2 linked regions of the Coturnix japonica genome follow. The protein of the gene in region 2 purifies or fractionates together with the protein of the main gene of each other region. This does not show direct contact. Links are inferred from orthologs where the notes say so. Each region holds a gene or a part of one and is shown on either strand. Other genes may lie near its edges.

Region 1 (3,916 bases), about 71 Mb from region 2:
CCGCATGCCTGTAGTTATCTCACTAAAACGACAGACCTTACAATGCTTATCTTTATGAATTATTCTTTCCCACTAAAATACAATGGTTGATGGTAATACACTGAGAGGGAAATGTTTTCTGGGAAGGAGGTAAGCACACCTGAGAAGAAGAAAGAGGTTTGTGCGTGTGTGTGTGTGTGTGTGTGAGAGAGAGAGAGAGAGGGAGAATGAAAGAAGGTAAATACCAAAGAAGCAGAAGCTCTGAGAAAATCAGAAAAAGTTCAAGTCCAGCGTGAAAGAACCTCAGAAGTTAAACTCCATCAGCTGTAGTTTTCTCAGTTTCTGTTACGAACTCCAAGTGTGAAGGAGTTTGTTAGCTTTATCCTCGCTAAGTAAGGTGGAGAATGGAGATGCTGCTGAAGTTAAAGGCAATGTGAAGCCTTAACAGAGACTTCCCATTGCAGGGCAGAAGCCTTACTGGAATAAACTGCTAAGGTTCTGCTGACATGGACTGGAACTCTGGCTCCTAGCAGTGCTTTAAGATTGCATTTCACTCATTATGTCTTGATCTAATATTACGATTGTGTAGTTTAAATGGATGAAACAAAAAGTTCCTTCGAATAACAATGGGCCAAATGTAGAAGATCTTACTCAGTCTTCACTCAGACAGAATTATTATTGGCACTGATGAGGGATTTGCTTGAGTCAGGAGCAAGTACGATTTGGCCAGATGACATGTAATATGTTCCGTCTTCAAAGCATTTTTCAGACATTACTTGATTATTCCCAAACCTAAATAGGAACTTCTAGGCACAGACTAGCATAGTAGCAGGGATGTTTTTGGTTCCTGAGTAGTACCTTTGCATGTCACAGACCTGTGCCCTACCAGCTCCTCCTGCTCTCAGTGCCTGGCTTGCATTCTGCAGCTGGAGAGAGTATCAAGTATAATAGAGCCCTCCAAACAACAGGATTATTTTGTTTCTGTCAGATCTCCTGCCAGTGTTGATAACCTCCAGCATTTACAAGTGAGCAGAAAAGATCTTTTCTACTCAAGGCAGAATAGCATTCTACCCAAAATATTCTCAGCCCCTGCCATCATCCCGGTCTTGTTCACAAGCTATTTAAGATCTCCTGCTAACCCTAACAATACCATACAGGACAAGAGCAAGGTGCTCATTAATAAAAGGTTTCATTCTTCATTCATTCATGTTTCCTCTGTTTAGTTAAGCCAGAGATACTGTTGAAGGAATAAAACAAACAAAAAAAAACACCAAACCAAACCAAACAAAACAAAAAAAAAGAAAAAAAAAGGAGGGGGGACGACAGCCAGGAGGGAGCCCCAGGAGGGTCAAACTGGGAAAAAGGAAGAGTAAATTTACAGGAATTAAGAGATTTTACACAGGAGGGCAGAAAGCCTGAGTAGTGATATTTGAAGAGAGGTGTGTGTTAGAGGAGCAATGAGCATAAGGAAGCCAGCCTGCCTGTTCCTCCCCCTTCCTAATCATAGCCTTTACTCACAGACAAAACTCCCTCCCTCTCCCATTCACTCACTCACTTTAGGCCAATCCGTCCTCTCCCTCTCTCTCCCTCTCTCTGTGTCTCTCTCCTACTCTGAGACAGAGTCAGAACTCTTCTCCCTGACAGCCACTAACATCTACAGCACTTATTGCATTCAGAGAGGGAACCTGCAAACAAAACTTCACAGAAAACTTTTGGTTCTTGTTCCAGAGAATTTGCTGAAGAGAAAGAAAAACAAACAAACAAACAAACAACACAAACCAGCCCCCAAAAAAACTGTGCGTGAAGGGGGAGGAAAAGCAGGGCCTTTTAAAAAGGGAATCACAACAACTTTTGCTGCCAGGATGCCTTTGCTTTGGAAGAGAGGATTTTTGTTGGTGATTTGCTGGATTATAGTGAGGAGTTCCCCAACCCCAGGATCCGAGGGGCACAGTTCAGTCACTGACTGTCCATCATGTGCCCTCACCACGCTCTCGAAGGATGTGCCCAGCTCACAGCCTGAGATGGTGGAAGCAGTAAAGAGGCACATACTGAACATGTTGCACTTGAGGGACAGACCTAACATCACCCAGCCGGTGCCCAAGGCAGCACTTTTAAATGCCATCAAGAAACTCCATGTGGGAAAGGTGGGAGACGATGGCTATGTGGAAATAGAGGATGATGTTGGAAGAAGAGCAGAAATGAATGAAGTTGTGGAACAAACCTCAGAAATCATCACTTTTGCAGAATCAGGTGAGTGCTTAAAAACAAAGCAGTAAAACAGCCTATTTATCAGAACTGCAATTAACTTCTCTGTAGCAGTACTGCTTTATGCGAGGTTGTGAGATGAGACCTGGGGGAAGGGAGAAGGACGAATGGGGTGGGGTGGGGGGTGGAGGGGTGACGGGGACTCTGAAGGAATTTGATTTTTCTGATTTAGTCTTGCCTGCAGATTGCACTTGCTAGTCACAGGCAGACGCGCAGGGAAGAAGCTCTTTAACCCATCTCAAGCAGAAAGTCAGGCTGCAAAGGGGTGCTCCAAACTGCTTCTGAAACCAAAGTACTTGCACTAAAGTACTGGATTGCAGTGCTGATGGTGAAAGAAAAAGGGCTCAAGGCATTTGGGGATTTTCTAAGGACAGAAAAGTAAGCTGCAAACTACTTGAGAAACTGCCCTTTAAAAATTACAGTGGAAGTTATAAAATCAGATGAGCCAGCTTTAACTTTTAGAAGTGAGAGGGCTTTTTTGTTTTCTAATTTAACACAGCATCTTCGGCAATAAAGAGTTGCAGGGACTGTCAGATGACTTCAATAGAATTGGACAAGTTGCTGTAGCTGATCCAATTTGTAATGCAGACTTCTGCATGATGGAAAAAAAAATTCTGCTCCTAAACTGCTTCTGCCAAAAAGAAAAAAGAAAAAAGAAAAAAAAAAGCAACTTTGATAGTTTATATTTTGAACTTTTTCACAGTTCTGTTTTTTCCTAACTCTTGTATAGTAAGGGTTAAGAATATAGATATTTATTAACTAATGGCTAAGGCTCACATCAACTGCCTATCAGAAACAGCTTTAAAGTTGTAGTTTACTGTCTTATTCCTACACGAATAGGACAAAAACTCATTTTAAATCAGTGGATGTGTATGTGCATATGTATCTGTTTGCATATATATGTTTATGCATGCATCAATGTCAATATCCTGCAAAAACTCTATCATCTAACAGCAACTTTTTATGATGCTGTCTAGCCAAAGCATTTTTCCTGTTGCCAAGACAGTTTTAAAAGAATGTCATTGTTTTGTTTGGTACAGCATATGGTAGGCAAAGTATGCAAAGGAACACCAAACATTTTTGTTTAAAAGTTTGCTGCAGCAGTATAAACAATTAAGACAACACTCAGAGTTTCCAGTCCTGAAAACCTGTTGACTCAGATGTTCTGTTTGCAGGGAAGCCATGCATAAGAAGTGTGCATGCTTTTAAGATCAGACATTCCTGCTGCCTGTCCAATTTCCAACTGCACAGGGACCCCTCGCCTTCGGTGTTCTTGTCAATACACACATTATCAGTCCCTTCAGCATGCAAGCTCAGGCTTTTTTTCTTTTTTCTTTCTTTCTTTCTTTCTTTCTTTCTTTCTTTCTTTCTTTCTTTCTTTCTTTCTTTCTTTCTTTCTTTCTTTCTTTCTTTCTTTCTTTTTTTTNTTTTTTTTTTTTTTTTTTTTTTTTCCATCCCCACCACTTCAGAAAGCAGGCAGACATCAGTGCCAGAGGTCCCCAGAACCAGGGGTGGCTCAACCTTAGTTTAGAAATGAGCTTTTAAAAGCAGCGAAATCTCTACGAGTCAGATTCCCCACCTGGTATTCAGCAGCTCATTCTGAAACATATATGGCATGAGCAGTGGTTTCTCGTCCCTGTGTGAGTCCCAATCATTTGTAAACACATTATTG
Region 2 (3,816 bases):
AGGCAGCTGCAGGCAACCAGCTTTCACAGCTCCCATCAACCTCGAGGTCCTGGGTGAGGGGGGGAACATATGCAGGGACACCCTTGCCAAAACAAGGATTATCTCGCCTTATAGGAAGATGGCCCCACTCAATGGGATGCAAATTCCTGCATCTGGGCATGGGGTTTCAGTCCTTCCTCAAGGCAAGAGAAGGATGCAGGGTTACAGAGGGCTACAACAAGCACGGTTGCAGTGAGGATGGAGTTATCAGTCTTACAAACATAGGAAATAACATACTCCGTAAATACATGTATTGGTTGCCCAGTGAAGTTGTCAGGTTGCTCGAAGAAGCTGTGGATGCCCACTCCCTGGTGGTGCTCAAGGCCAGGCTGGATGGGGCCCTGGGCACTGATGTGGTGAGTGGCAACCCTGTCAATGGCAGTGGGGATGGAACCAGATATCCTTAAGTTGTTCTGTGATTCTACGTTGTGATTTATGAAGCACAGCCCCTTCCAAGGGAGGTTCTGCAGCAACCAGGTTCCCCTCTCCAACACATATCAAGACAGCGTGAGGGCCGAGAGAAGTCCCCACCCTTCAGATGTGTGCCATAAACCACCACCAGCCACACTTAGTATTTCACAGGCAAAACACTGATTACTAGCCCTTTTCCATTTCAGATGTGGGTAAAAAACCCTCCTGTCTTAGCACAGGATTTGTTTGGATAAAAGGCATTTACTTCCCCAAAGCACAACCTCCTTCTCTATTCCACAGCATCGTTTCAAAGAGGTCATAAACATTTGAACACGGCACCTGAAAAGCATTAAGGAAAGAGGCTGTACCTGTGTGCTATAGCAGGTTTGTGTCCTTCACCCTTGCACCATGGGACGTCCTCATGGAGGTAAGACAAGCCACGGGCCATGGTTTCTGCAACATGGCAGAGCTCGTTCCAGCTGATGATATTGCCCTTCAGGTAATCCGTGAGAGAGCCCTGCAAAACAGGACATTGTACATTCTTAATCACAGCCATTGCTATGTGACAGATGTGCAGACTCATCGGTTTCATTTAGTTTTAATGAGTGCTTGAGAAATGTGAACCTTCATTTAACAGGCAAAAAATATAACTAGCAAATGTTAAAAAAAAAAAAGAAAGAAAAAGAAGAATTAAAACCCAGAAGCATTCATGAGTCCTTGGCCCGCGACAGCACAAAAAGTATATGGATATCTAAACTGTGTCCCAATCCATTCATCTGCTTGGGAGGCTGGTGAAGGAAGGGACAAAGTCATCACAAAAAGAGCAAGTCATACAAGCTAGAAAAGAAGAAATATCTGCATGCAAGAAGATGTTGCATCATATCAACTGGTAGTGGAAATGATTGACTCAGTAGACCTTGGATTAAATAGAGGGATAATGCTGCCGGCTCAACCCCTGGTTTGTGTGTGTTTGTTTTATTTTGAGCCTTAGTCATGTTTGATAACTAAAGCAATTCAAGACAGAGGAGGTATGCCCTGAGCTTCAAAAACAAACACGGAGCCTATCTGCAAGGGCTGGGTTGGGAATGCAGTGGCCCCAGCCTCCAGCTCTCCCTGGCTCATCTCCACATGTTATGAGATGGCAAGCACAGCATACGTGAGCTGTGTGCAGCCTATTGCGCCACCTCCCTCTCCCCAGGTCCCACCTTTCTTAATCCAATGTTTGTGCAGGAAAGCCTTGAAGGCTAAAGGAAGGGCCATTGCTGAAGGGGAGACCAACTGGGGGAGCTTCTGGGAGAATATCAGCCACCAAATACTGTGCTTCATAGCCAGCCACCCCTGTGCCACCCCCAAATGAATGTGCAACGATATGTTACCTTGTCGTGGAATGCTGTGATCAGCCAGAGCTCTGTCTCTAGGTTTGTTCCTCTTTTCTCTGCTGCGATAAATTGCAAAAGGTTTTCATGCTTCATGCCAGGAGTATTGAAAATCTCCCTCTCACTCTGCCAAGATTGCTTATCCTAAAGCAGAGAGAAACACACCATCGAAGATCACACTTCCCTTTAAAGCAAACAGCTCCTTCAGCTGCTTGCATCCCTCTCAATACATCCCTCAGCCTTAAGATGTGATGCTCCCCTTTGAAATGAGGCTATTTTCCTACAGGGTAGATGCTAGAAGAAGAAGAATGGAAGTCATTGTTCCCAATCTCCCTTCTCCAAAATTCTCCTAAAGCTCATGTTTGGGCAGGGGGGAGGGATCCAAACCCAACCTCACTGAGAAATAAGCTTTCTCAAGATTTTCTAAGAAAGCAGTCAGGAATAAAGCCTGTGCACACAGCAAATTGTTACGACTGCAAATCCAATCTAGACTGTATTGAATATTTACTAGTAGGTCACAGCTGGCACGGACAGAAGATGTGCAAATCTCCTTTAGCAATGCTATGACAACAAATACAGGGAGAAAAAAATTAACGAATAAGGAGACTGCGGAAGAGCACAAAGATGTTTCAGTCATTCCGCTCTCATTTGACTTTTGATTGCTCAACTCCTTTTATTTGCAATTCCTAAAGAGTCAAGCCAGGAGCATTCAAAGGTTTTTTGAAGTAGAAGATTTGAGCTGACAGACACACTGAAGTGCAGTGAGCTTGCACAGCACCGGGGTTACATCTCTGTGAGTAATAAAGTGTTTGCTAGGTTGGGGGGTCTGGGTTTACAGCCTTCCTGGATAGGACACACAAGGCTGAGCATTTGGTCCTCTGTGTGCACTTCAAGCACTGCAGTCCGATTTCTGACAGCACTGTTTGCAGCAGTGTTAAAAACTTGAAGATTCAAAATGTGCTTGTTTGCCCTTCTTGCAACAACTACTTCAGGAAGCATTTGGTAATGAGATATCACATAGAAAAGGATAGGCGAGGTCCTTAACTATTGCCTCCAGTCTTTGTAATAGTAATGACAACACCTCCATGGGCACTCAGAGCATCTCAACACTGGCACGGCAACCCTGTGAGTGAGCCTGAGGGTGATGCCCTTCTCACCTGAATTGGGAAGATTTTCACTGCTACGTAGTCATTCATCAGCTGAGCCTTCCACACGCAGCCGAAGCGTCCCCTGGCTTTGATCTCCAGGAGCTGTAAAGGTTTTAGGCCAACCAAAGGAGAAGGAGGTGGTGGGCCGGGGTCCTGCACAGAAGAACAACAGTCATAAGCTGTAGCAGGACCATAAAACAAAGCAGGGGAATCAAAGAATCACAGAATTACTTGGGTTGGAAGGGACTTCAAGGATCATGAAGCTCCAACTTCCCTGCCACAATGCAGGGCCACCAACCTCCACATTCAATATTAGACCAGGCTGCCCAGGGCCTTGAACATCTCCAGGGATGGGACATCCACAACCTCTCTAGGCACCTTGTTCCAGCATCTCACCACTCCTTCTGTAAAGAACTTCATCCTGATATCCAACCTAAACCTCCCCACCTTCAACTTAAAACCATTTTCCCTTTTCCTACTATTATCTACCCTTGTAAAGAGCTGGCTCCCCTCCTGTTTGTAGGCTCCCTTGTACTGGGAGGCTGCAATGGGGTCACCTGGCAACCTTCTCTTCTGCAGGCTGAACAAGCCCAGCTACCTCAGCCTGTATTTATAGGGGAATGAAGAGGTGGTGTGTGGCAAAAAGTGCAAAGGATTATGGAATATCCCAAGTTGGATGGGACCAACAAGAATCATTGAGTCCAGCTCCTGGATCCACACAGGACAAACCAAAATCCAAACCCTATGTCTGAGAGTGCTCTTTATGTCCCTCAGGGAAGGGAGCAAGGTCACCATACTGTTAATCACAAATTATTGATATGCAGCTCACAGTGAGAGCAGCA

The links.
Region 1: the proteins of ACVR2B (region 2) and INHBA purify together in Homo sapiens (affinity purification with western blotting; 3 studies listed by BioGRID and IntAct, with this or other methods). This does not show direct contact. The link is inferred for Coturnix japonica from reciprocal best matches to the Homo sapiens genes ACVR2B and INHBA.

The regions. Positions count from the first base shown.
Region 1 is NC_029517.1:76,024,411-76,028,326, forward strand, and holds the start of INHBA (inhibin beta A chain), read left to right. Parts: upstream 1-1,330; 5' UTR 1,331-1,436; coding exon 1,437-2,229; intron 2,230-3,916. UniProt on the Homo sapiens protein: Inhibins/activins are involved in regulating a number of diverse functions such as hypothalamic and pituitary hormone secretion, gonadal hormone secretion, germ cell development and maturation, erythroid differentiation, insulin secretion, nerve cell survival, embryonic axial development or bone growth, depending on their subunit composition.
Region 2 is NC_029517.1:5,092,484-5,096,299, forward strand, and holds part of ACVR2B (activin receptor type-2B), read right to left. Parts: intron 3,128-3,816; coding exon 2,984-3,127; intron 1,971-2,983; coding exon 1,827-1,970; intron 968-1,826; coding exon 819-967; intron 1-818. UniProt on the Homo sapiens protein: Transmembrane serine/threonine kinase activin type-2 receptor forming an activin receptor complex with activin type-1 serine/threonine kinase receptors (ACVR1, ACVR1B or ACVR1c).